Linked DNA regions of Drosophila melanogaster. The gene in region 1 interacts genetically with each later gene. Each region holds a gene or a part of one and is shown in the gene's direction. Other genes may lie near its edges.

Region 1 (4,815 bases):
AATGTTCAGCTGGGGAGAATTCCGCGGAAAGTGCGATGGCAAAAACTACAGCATGTTGCAGTTGTTCCCAGCTGGCCAGAAGCCTCCAAGAGAAGCCAAGAGTTCTCCTCCAGACAGGCTGACGATTGCCTAGAAAGACAGCCGCACTGGAGCCAGCGGACTCCTACTGCCGGTGGAGGAGAAAACGGCGGAGAAAGAGGGCCTGGATGGCTGCAGACGCTGAAGAGCCCAGCCTGCAGCCAACTAACCAATTAGTAAGCGCTGCACAGAACGCGTCTACAATTGTGAGAACCTCAGACCAGGCTTGCAGGCCAACAAGTCAACAAGCCAAGAAGCCAACAGCCAGCAGGCCGTGTGAGTATGATGAAATGTCAGCAGGACCAGAAGCTGCATCGAAATGCACTCGGAGAAATACTTAGCAAACAACTAAAACCAAATTACACAATAAAAAAGTGTCACAGAGCTAGAGATGCATATGTCATATGACCCATCTGTAAACCTAATCCATATAAAATACGGAATTATTAGGAATGCGTGGGGATCATCAAACTTCATCTTTATTTATTGTTCTTTCTTTTCGCAGTCTTGGGGAAATGGGAATACAAGTGGAAGGCATCATTCAGATTCAAGTGACCCAAGTGGCATCCGTTTTCCCGTAGTGTCCAGAAGACCTGGTGCCCGCTGCGTGGATCGATCCTTATATGATCCGCTGGCAGCGGCAAACGTTCTATTTTGACAGTCATTATGATTAATTTAAATCATTAGGCAGCCCGGGCAGGTAGACAAACCATCGAGCTCCTATATTCCATCTAATTAAATGCGAGAGGAGCGGAGCTGCAGTTGGCTGTGGTCCTGGTCCTGGTGCTTGATCGGAGTCGACCTCGGAGTCGGAGTCGTGGAGCTGGACACGGGACCTGGACTGGCTTATTCGCGGAAGAGACAAGCTGGCGACAACGACACCGATGGCTGGAAAAGGCAACGATGACCATTTGCAGCTGGGGAATGCATCATCTTCGATCGCGGATCGGGGCGCAGTGAGTGTATCGATTTATCTGCGCTTACTATATACATATCTGCTGCTATCTGCTAGTCGCTGCACGTGGCCATGCCCACTCCGCCCCTTTGCCCATTCCGCGAACCTCTATTTAAGGACATGGCGAAATACTCGTGCTCCTGTGTACAAGTGGGCCCACCACGCAAATCCTCTAGAGCATTCTGACCATATTGGCGGGGCTAAGAAATTCCTGGCATAGTTTAAGTGTATCGCTTTTTGTTGCTGCGCCCGGGCACTCAAGATGCCCGCAAAGCTCAGCCTGCGAAATGTCGCAAAAGAAATTACAAAATCAGCAATAAGAAAATCAGAAAATCACAAAATCAGAAGATCACAAATTAACTAAATTAACAGCGCTGATAAGGCGAAACGCCACGTATGTAATTACCGAACTCAACCACGAGTTTTCAAGGGGAGGAGCCAATGAGCCACCCAGCCATATGAATCCCAAATCCACGATCTATGTGTGCGCATGCGCAGCGAATGGGTATGCATATGGGGGCGTGGCCATCTAATTAATTAAGCCATAAAGCCAGCAAAATGAACGACGGCAGCAGGAAGACGCCGAACGGGGGTGGGGATTGGGTCGGGGAATGGGGGATTGGGGTTTGTTTTTATGTACTCCGTACTCTTCGCGTTCGAAATCGAAGAGAGCGCGGCGCTCTTAGGAAAAGAGGAAACCGGTTCGCCCAAGTTTGGAATATCGAGCGAACATCGTTGGTGGAAATACGCTGAAGTTTATTAGGTATTTGCACGCCATCTGAAGAACAACGAACGCCAGCTATCGATCGCAAGTTTAGCCCGTCGAATCGTTTCGAATTCGTATTTGGAATGAACCACAATAAAATCGCCACAAATAAAGTAAACAGTCCAAACAAGTGCCTAGCGACAAATAAGCAAACCAACTGCAACGCATACGGAACAAACAAAAACACAAATATTTCCCATAACTGCACTAAATCTACGAAGTCGAAACAAAGTTAGGCGTATTTTTTTTACCAGAAACACTTAAACAATTTTTACAAAAAACGGATATTAATGCAATCAGTTCGAGACAAGCAGACAGCAAGCGGAAGACTTAAGGAGATAACAACTTATAGAGGCCATAATCAAAGGAATAAAGCACCATCAGCCAGCGATGAGAAGGAACGTCTTCAATGATAAACCTTCGAAAACTTTTAGAAAATAGCAAACATCCCAATAAACCACAACAATTATAAAACGCGAGAAAGGATTTGGTAAATCATCTAAAACCAGTTCAACAAACAACACATATAGTAAACATTAAATATTAAATCACAAGTTTTAGAAGGCAAACAAAGATAAAAACTCTTAACACCAGTTAAATAAAATATACTAAAAGAACTGCAACCAAAAAATAACATACAATTAAATGAAATTAAAAGCCATAAAGAAACTTAAAGCCATTGGAAACAAGCCATAAAAGCGGTCCAGAACCTAAATATTAAACACAAACCAAAATTCAAATTCCGCGCCAAACGACCACACTGCGCAACACACGAGCGCTGCATCCCTGGACTTCAGCCGCATTCCAACACTGCAGGACTGTCAGCTGTCAGTTTTCCTGTGTGTGTGCGCGCGTAAGTGTGTGCGTGCACTTAAGAAACTTAAATTCGCGTTCTTGGCCAAAAAAAACCCGGGTTTTTAATAAGTTATAGCGTTTTCCTCGACTGAGAACTTGGCCCCCAGGCAGACGGGCACAAAAACCGCCCCAGAAACGCGCCCGCCGCCGCCAAAAAGGCCGAAAACGCCAGCGAAACGCGCGCGTTGAGTGTTTTCTGTGTGGTTTTATTTTTGGAATATAAAGCGATCTGATCTGAAAAGTGTGCCGCGGCCGGATTCTAGATATTCAGATTCCCAGCACCCGAAACCCAAACGCAATAATAGACGCGCGCGGTGCCTTGGATCTCTACGGCTCCACGGTGGAGAACTTTTACCTCAGAATGGATCCGACGCGAGGTGACTCGCGGTACAATCTCAACTACTCGATGAGTAGCATAGGGCTGAGCCTGGCGGATCCGGCGGACATGTACGGCAACCCGGCCCTGGGGGCGGGCCGCCCGCCCTCCGGTGGCCTGCTCCAGAACATGGGCGGCGTTCCGCCGATGCAGCGCCCCAATCCCGCGGCAGGAGCACCCCCTGCCCCGCAGTGCCAAACGCTCCACAGCCCACAGCACGCCTCCCAGCAGCAGCAGCAGCAACAACAGCAGCAGCAGCAACACCAGCAGCAGCAACAACAGCAGCAGCAGCATCCCCAGCAGCAACGCGGCCTTAAGCGCTCCGGCAGCGACTGCTACGAGGATCACCACCGCTCGTCCGGCGGACTCACCCTCCAAGGACTGGACAACGTGGCCAGCGGAGCCGTCGACGACAGCGTAGACAACTACAACCCGCTGCCCAACAAGAAGTCTCCGCCTGCCAACGGCAAAAAGACAAAGGGACGTGTCAAAATCAAAATGGAATACATCGACAATAAGCTGCGTCGCTACACGACCTTCTCCAAGCGCAAGACGGGCATAATGAAGAAGGTAAGATCGCTGGAGCACCCCTACGCCATCCCCATCCCCAACGATATTTTCAACCCAACCCCGAAACCGAAATCGATCCCCATCCCAATCCCCATTCCAGCCACGATTGGCGCTGCAATTGGGATGTTGACATCGGGCCACGTTTCCAGCGCATGTGCAATTAATAAATGCTTCAGGGATTCAGTTGCGACGGAATCCAGCAGTTCCCCCACATCTCTGGCATTGTTCTGCCTCCGGAAAGAGCGAGGATTTATTGTCAATTGGCCATCGGCACAGTGGTCGGGATAGCTGGCGCACAATAGGAGAACCATCTCGGAATATCAAGTACCCAATGGATATATCCAACAGTTAGACCATTTGTGTACATTACTCGTCAGTTCAAATATTCAAATCTTTCTCTTGTGTCCATTACCAATTATTAGTTCCACTTGGAAGTATGTTTATTGGACCAATACAAATTCTGCTTGGAAATTGCTTATAGGCCACCTTATGTTGGGATCCCAAACCTAATGCTAAACAATTTGATTTAAGACTCAAAAACCCGAACCACTGTGCCCGCGAAGTACCTCTGCTCATCTCTAGAACAGTAGCCGCAGATCCTCTGCTTTTGGCCAGATCGCGTCTGTTTGGCCAACTGTTGGCCGCTTTGGCGGCGTTGTGTAAGCGCGGTAGCCCACGATTCCGCGTTGCCTTTGTTTTCGGCTTCATAAAATGTTAATTTGCCGCCGCAATTGCATTCAAAGGAGGCTCCTGCCCACGGAGCACTCCTCCCCCGAAACAATTGATGCGTGCTCCTTGTGGATGGTGGCCCACAAGTCGCTGCAACTGGCAACGTTGCCTTGGCATTTTCAAATGACCAATTTTCACACGCAAACTTACATAATGCCACTGCATTAGCTCCTGCTGCTTTCCATCGATCTGGGGGCCGTATATGAAATTTTTCACATTTCTGAAATAGACTTCCCTGGCCACTAGCTGAACCAAGCCCCGATCAAAATCAGACAAAAAGCATCAACATCGCGGCGCTAAATCACGATCTCAGCACGATCTTTGCCCAAGACACAAAATCTTATGAAATATTTGACCCAAGCAGACCAAAAACAAAGACGTTGGAGCACTTAAATTTAAAAGGGGAGATTTGGGAAAACGTTTAGCTTGTTGTACGCTAGAATGGCAATAAAATGTCAAGTATAAACTAAATGTTTAATAAGTTTA
Region 2 (7,578 bases), about 18 Mb from region 1:
AGCGCGGGACATCGAAGCTATTGCTAATGAACCGATAGAAGTCATGGTGCTGCTCCTTGCTGATGCTTTGTGGCTCAAGAAGCCACAGAGGCTTGATCTCATTGGCCTGCTTTCCGTTAAGCAAGATGGGTGAGCCCACAAAGTTGCTGTATTTCTTGATTACCGCCTTGATCCTCTCCTCGTCCGCATATTCACGGCAATCGGTCTTTAAATGAAGCACGATTCGCGTTCCCAACTCAACGTCAGGCACCTCTTCGATCTCGTAGGTTCCACTGCCATCCGTGGACCAACGCAGTCCGGGTGCATTAGGCACAGCCGCCCTCGTGAACACCTCCACCTTATTGGCGACAATGAAGGAAGAGTAAAAGCCCACGCCGAACTGACCAATAATGTTCGAGGATGCCTCCGAGCTGGCTCCCTGCTGGGTCCCCTTCATCTGCTCCAGGAACTTCTTCGAGCCGCTGCGTGCAATGGTGCCCAGGTTGCTGACCAGCTCCTCCTTGGTCATGCCGATGCCCGTGTCCTGGATGATTAGCTGCATCAGTGGCTTGTCGGTGGTGATACGAATCTCCAGAGGCCGGTCCTTTCCAGCCAGATTCTCGCCTCCAGCGCTCAACGAGGTGTACCGAAATTTCTCCAGCGCATCGCTTGCATTCGAAATAAGCTCGCGCACAAAGACCTCGTGGTCGGAGTATAAGGAACGAGCCACAATGTCAAGTAGCTGGCGCGTCTCTGCCTGGAACTCATGCTTGTCCACCACTGATCCTGATGCCTGCTTGGTCTCCGTGGAGTAGCGACGGAGCGAGAGAGCTGCAAGTGAAAAGATGAGTGTTATGTAAACATAAGAATCCCTCCGGGGAGCCGGTTGCTTATATTCAGTGCTTACCACCCGGCGAATGCTGCGATCCAATGGTGATATTGAACGCTGCTGGGGCGGATCGGTGACTCTGCCTCAACACTTGGGCACAGCGACCGAGGCGGCACGCCTGGCCCAGCACTCCCATCGCTCGTACAGACATCTTGTTGTTTTAATGTTTTGCCCAACTTTAATGTTACCCAACTACGAAGTTTGTTCCAGCGCACATGTGTGCACAGTGTAGCCAAATCAATCGATTGTAAGTATTCGATAATAGTAAACTGGTAAAACCCTACTCATAACGGTGTTTTCTTCCAAATTTCTGGGCTGTAATGAATTTTGGACTCAAATGCTTAGTTGGTTTGAATAAGAGTTACTACATGTAATGGAGAGTTCAGTTTCATCACATTATTCAGCTCAAAACTGAAGCAAACTGCCAGCTGACTAGTTCTCTAAAGATTTCGATCAGCAAGAGAGAGAGAGAGAGATAGAGATGTTTCAACTGTGAACAACAAACCGTAAATTCTGAAGGAATTAAGAACAGATTACGTTTCATTGTTTAGCCAATGTAGATTGGATGCTGATTTTTGAGTTATGAAATAACAAATGTCTTCAAAGAAGACAGTAAATAAAAGAAAGTTAAATCAAATCCAATATTGAAAGACATCGATACCTCATATCGATATACGGTCCAATTGCTGACAGCCCTGCTCGTGAATGCAACTCTGCTGTAGCGCGTCAGCGTCGCGTTGTAATTTTTGTTGAGTTTTTTAAATAATTTTAATTAGCATCTGCGTGTCTTACTATTAGAATATCATGTGTTAAGTGTTTCCCATTCACGCCACCACACAAAAAGATCCAATCATGAGCGCCACCACCATCGACAACGTACGGGTGCTGCTTCAGTCGCTGCCTGCTGCCGCCGTAAACAGCGCCACTCAGCCGGGCGATCTACAGACGCCGGGCAAGATTGCGGCCCCAGCGACTCCCCTTCGCGCCAAGAATCCCGCCCAATTACAGATCATGCCGGAGAAGGTCGAGGAGATGCCGCCGTCACCTCCGGAGGAGTTCTGGAGGGACCTGCAGCAGTTTCACGAACGACGCGGGTGAGTTGCCGCGGCTCTCCTGTATTTGGAGACGACCTAACCCACTTTCCCTCTGCCCAAACAGCACTCCATTGACACAGCCCGCCAGGATCAGCGGTAAGCATGTCGACCTGTACAAGCTGTACAACGAGGTAACCGAACGAGGCGGCTTTAATAAGGTGACCATGCGGGACGAGTGGGACGAGGTGTACAGCGCCATGGAGACATTGCGGGAGCGCTGCGTTAACGGAACGGCTAGTATCAAGCACATCTACAGACGCTACCTGGACAAGTACGAACGGTTGAACTTCTTTGGCGAGGATCCAGACAAGATGGAGGCTCTGGAGGCGGCTATTGAGATTGTAGAAATGGGCGGTGGACGCTCGCGATCTCGTTTTTTGGCTGGCGCCGGTGGTGGCCTAGGAAGCATTTTTGGATCAGCACACTCTACGTTGCCGGCGGTGCCAATGGCCTACAACCAGCGCCAGCACTCTGTTAATGTGGAACGACGCCGACAGTACAAGATGTCCACGCAGTTGCACCGACACAGCAGCTACGAGAAGCTGCTGTTGTCTCTGCTTTCTCCGCTGCCCAATGAGCAGGACTTCGCCATAAACGTGTGCACACTTATGGCCAACGAGGCGCGCCACACCCTACAGCTGTCCGAGTGCCCCAAACTGCTTGATGTGCTGCTTGCTCACCTGGGAGTCTACGCTGACTTCACCATGCGCCAGCTGTTCCAGCACAGTTACACCGAGGTTCGACACCATTCGCAGCTCAGTTTCTGGCGCGACCTGCTACACGACAAGCCACAGGTCCTAGAGCTCTACACGGATGAGCAGGCCTGGCTGGACAACGGTCTGATAAGTAAGGAGGACGGTGAGAACTCTGCCGCTCGAAGTGAACTGCTGGCGGCCTGCGACGAGTTGCACTTCCTTAATCTGCGCCGGAGCAACGGGACTGATGAGCGCATGGGCCAGCGAGTGCTTCAGATTGTCCAGCTAGTCCGTACACTCAGCTTTCATCAGGAGAATCATGCACTCTTGGCCTCCAACCGCACGTTGTGGCGATATTTGGTCATGGGAGCAAACGTACGATGGAGTAAGTTTTTTTTATCTGCTTAGAAATTATATTTTTTGGCGCTTTGAATGTACGAAGTATCAAGGTGCTATCATAAATACACTGCAAGGAAATTGACTATTGCGTAGCATAGCAATCCCGAAAGAATCAATTTAAAATAAAATAACTGAAACACGTTTCGCTCGTTCTAGGCAACATTCACATCCAGGCCCTCGAGACCGCTGGCAACCTGGCTCAACAATTTGAGCTGCTAGACCCCACCACTGACGAGCTATCGCGGAATCTTTTAGCTACTCTCTGCGAGGGTATTGACTCTAACGACCGCGCGGTGATCATGAGCTGTCTGGAGATACTCTATAAGTTGTGCGGACGAGAAGGCAATTCGCAGCACATCAATCGTTGCCTTGGCCTGGACTTTTACCAGCGAGCCATGTTGCTCCTCTCGCTTACCGACGTCATGATGATTATCTTTACGCTGGAGGCAGTTTACGCACTAAGTGCTCTTGGCGCTCGGCCATGTTCGATGCTGATGCAAGTACGTGGCCTAATAGACCAGCTGGTGACCCTTATCACAGTGGAGGCTCAGTCATATGGCACAGGCGGTTGCATATTAATGCGTGTCGTAGAGGTTTTCCCCGGAAACATGGCTGCCTCGCTGGCTCAGAACATGCCCGCCATTCTTGCTCCAGGTCCCACTTCCCTGACTACACTTCCAACATCGCTGCAAGTAGCTGTTAAACCGCCAGCAGTTTTACCCACGCCTACACCCGCCCAGACGCAAGTGCTGCCTCACGGAGAGCAAACACCCTTGGTTACAGCTCTCCCCGGTCTGCCAATGCCCAGTCTGCCACAGGTTCAATTGCCTGTACCCAGTCTGCCGCAGGTACAATTGCCACCAATCGCTGCCACCGTGACCCTTCCCAGTCTGCCCTCCGCCTCCCAGAGTTTTACACACGAGGACGAACAGTATGCGCTGGCTTGGCTGGGAGCCACGTATGAACGGGCTGGGAACGGTAACGATCTCCGTGTGGAACAAGCGGAACTATACAGAATATATTTATCGCATTGCCAGAAGGCGGGTAAGCTTTCAGTGGTTAATCACATGCAGTTTCCTCGTCTAGTGCGGCTTATATTTAATCAATCGGTGGGACCAGTAATTGTACGGCACCTGGACGGAATAGAGCTACCTGGGACGTACTACGTAGGCATTAGGATGCGAGCTCAGCCGCTAGCCATGCAACAGAGACCCACCCCCAGCATTGTTCCTGTTAAAAAGGACACGCCAATATTGCCCAAGCAACCATTTAGTGATCCTGTTCAAACGGAAGTGGCGTCTGAGGAAAGCGTTTCTTCTGCAGTCACGCCACCCCCAAGCTCCTCGCTCATCAAAAGCTTGTTGGCCAACAAGGTAACTGAACGCCAACAGAAGCAGAAGGCCCAAGCTCAGACGCCGCAGCCGCCAGCCCTTGTGGCTACCACGGCATCGGGCACAAATGCTACCCAGCCCATCAAGGTAACCTCAACAGCTATAAGCGCCTTCGTGAACAACCCGCTAATGCAGCACACACCGGTGAAGGTGGGTCAGACTACCATTAAGCCGTTGCACCCCCAGATGGCCATCGAAAAGAAGCCAATCACTGATTCGGCCCCGCCACCTCTCGCTCCATTGAGTGGTGCAAACGTAGTGACGAAAGACGCCAGCGGGCGCACTCTCATCATTGCATCAGCAGCTGCCAAACGAAAATTAACCATTGACGAGGAGCAGAATAAGCGTCTGGCTTTAGATGCCGCTGCCAGCAGTTCCAGCAGCTCATCTTCTGGCGGCAAGGAAGAAGCGCAGGTGACTCCCTCGAAGAATGCAGCCAATCTCTATGCGGATCTGGCGGCATCTATTTTGGAGGATGAGGATATGGATGACGTTCCACCGCTGGCCAAACCAAGCCAGGAGCAAAGCCAGCAGCACCCGCAACAGGCACAGCAGCTTCAACTCATTCCGGCTAAAGTGCAACCAACCCAACGTCAACTTGTTTTCCCCGGTAGCAATGTGGTTTCTCCAGCTCCGCATTCCCAACTAAAACTTGCCACCACGGCCACCATAAAGACGGATCAGGGCTTGCAAACTGTGCCAGTGATCCTGCAGCCCAAGACTGCAATGGATTCCACGCCAGCTCCGCAGACGCAATATGTTCTGGCCACCAACCAGCAAGGCCAGACGTATCTTGTGGCCCAGCAGCCGACTATTCCGACATCCACGCAGTCGGCACCACCCACTCTGCTGGTGACGCAAACACCACAACAACAAACGAAGACCATAATAATCCTGCAGCAGCCAGGAGGAGTCTCTGCGGCGAACGTGGCTGGCACTCAGAAAATGATAATGACAACGGCGCAGGGCCAGCAGGTCCTGGTTACCACCACCACAGCTCCACAACTGGCCCAACCGCGTACTTCTACCCCCCAGCAGCAAATCTTTATCGCACCCCAGCGACCAGTTCCGGCGTTGGGTGCTGGCCAAATGTCGCCTTCACTGCTGTCGCAGTTGAACCAGATCCCGGCTACTATAAAGCTTCATCAGCCCCAACCACAGCCGCAGCTCGTTTCGCCGCAATTAGCACCCCAGCAGCGATTAGTTGCCGCAAAGCCGGGCGCTTCATTGCCCATTCCTCAGCTCCAGCAACATCAGTCTATCATCCAGCAACACATAATCTCGGGCCCCTCCACTCCTACTTCCACAGTTGGCGGTACGGTTGGTGGGGAAAAGAGGCAGGTAATTCTGGGCGGAATCAAGGAGACCACGCTAATTACCCAGACGTCGGCCACACCGGCTCCCCTGCAGCAAAGCCAGCTTAACTCGCAGACGATCATCACTCAGTCACCTACCAGCACGGCTATCGTAGGAGGCGTGGCTCTTCAGCAGCAACATCACATTCGATCTGTGTTGGACCAGCAGCAGCAGCATCATCCATCCATCATCCAACAGAAGATAACCATGCCGGCAGTAAGTTGGGAACTGGGGCCGAAATTAAAGAATTATTATTTTTTTTTAAGTATATATACAAGGGTCATTGAAAAGTATGTAAACAGCTTAAAATTTGATTTCATAATATGCCCATGCCCGTTCTAAATCCCATAAATCGCATCACATTCACATTCCCCATTTTTAAATGTTTCCATCGCGTTTTCACTACTTGAGTGGCGGGTTTTACAGGATCTCTTTTCTAAATAGCCAACAGGTGTATGGTAATAAGAATTGTGCTAAGATGACTAAAACAAATATTTTAATATATTATTTTAGATTTCCGAAGCGACCAAACCGAAAATAGCACCCGTTCCAGTTTCACCAACTGTAACTCTCCTAGCAAAAAAGCCGGCGCCGCCACAACCTGCTCAAGTATCTAGCCCCAAGCCATCAGTCACCCAGGCTGTTGTGGTAACGACGTCAGGAACTAGTGATTCAACGGAAGGCGGCAAAACAGTTGTCTTAGCAACCAGCGAGGCCAAGCCAGCGGAATCAGAGGTAGTAGCACAGACGGTTGTCCCACCTGCTGTCGTAACTACAGGTCCCAGCAGCAGTTCTTTGGTTGTCAGTCAGAGCGTCTACGCTGCTTCTGGCCCGAATGCCAACCCCACGCCCTCTCCCATGCCCGTGGATGCAAATTGGTTGTACATCTGCGACTGGCGGAACTGTCCCCGCAAGAAATTCAAGTCTCTTAACGAGCTGCAGTACCACGTGTGCAGTGTCCACTGTCCAGATCACCTTGATTCTGATGCCGACATTTATTGTCAGTGGGGCAGCGGACCCAACTTCTGCGACAACAGAGCGCGCAAACGGTACTCATTGATGACGCATCTGATTGACCGGCACCTGACAACGGAGAACTTGCGCGCCAGTGTGCAACGTCGCCTGGCAACTGGGATTCACAATGTGGCGCCCACCCAGGCTCCCGTGACCATAGTGCGCAACGAGGGTCATGCCCAACGATTGGCGGGAGGCGCTACTGGTTCACCTTCGGGTCCTGCTTCAGCGGTTCCAGTCGTTGGCAGCGCCGCAATGCAAGCTATGAACCGACACACGACTGATTACACGAACGCTAAAGAGCTGATGGACGAAAATGAGGGTCCAGTCACCAAGAGCATCCGTCTGACAGCGGCGCTCATTATACGCAACCTGGTCACCTACTCGGCTACGGCCAAGAGAAGCCTGAAACGCTATGAGTCACGCTTGGCCAATGTCGCCTTTAGCAATGTGGAGGCTAGCGGAGTGCTCTCCCACATCATGTACGAATTGAGCCAGTAAGCCGATATAGCTTACCATCAATATGATTATTTAACTGACTTGTAAGAACGACACTAAAAAAATGTGAAAAGCAAACCATACCTTGTTTGTCTAAATGATTCATACCATATAGCACCAAAATATGGGAGATTCGGGAGTAAGATTTTAATTTGACTTCTACAATTCTACGAGGCTTAGAATTAAAGAGCTATGGTGGACATTATCAGATATACTCCTGGTTAGCAAATAAACGTTTTGAATTAATCGTTCAAAACATACTT

Evidence for each region. Genes that interact genetically often act in the same process or in processes that back each other up.
Region 2: of bs (region 1) and Bap170, changing one enhances a phenotype caused by changing the other (phenotypic enhancement), as found in Drosophila melanogaster (one study listed by BioGRID).

What each region holds. Positions count from the first base shown.
Region 1 is NT_033778.4:24,341,075-24,345,889, forward strand, and holds the start of bs (blistered), read left to right. Parts: upstream 1-1,786; 5' UTR 1,787-3,015; coding exon 3,016-3,600; intron 3,601-4,815. UniProt on the Drosophila melanogaster protein: Required for the formation of intervein tissue of the wing. Acts in a dosage-dependent manner to suppress wing vein formation and promote development of intervein cells. Might play a role in the proper formation and maintenance of the trachea.
Region 2 is NT_033778.4:6,634,969-6,642,546, forward strand, and holds Bap170 (brahma associated protein 170kD), read left to right. Parts: upstream 1-1,543; 5' UTR 1,544-1,720; coding exon 1,721-1,962; intron 1,963-2,026; coding exon 2,027-3,042; intron 3,043-3,212; coding exon 3,213-6,019; intron 6,020-6,316; coding exon 6,317-7,318; 3' UTR 7,319-7,390; downstream 7,391-7,578. Other genes in the region: Trap1, read right to left, coding at 1-810, 887-1,019.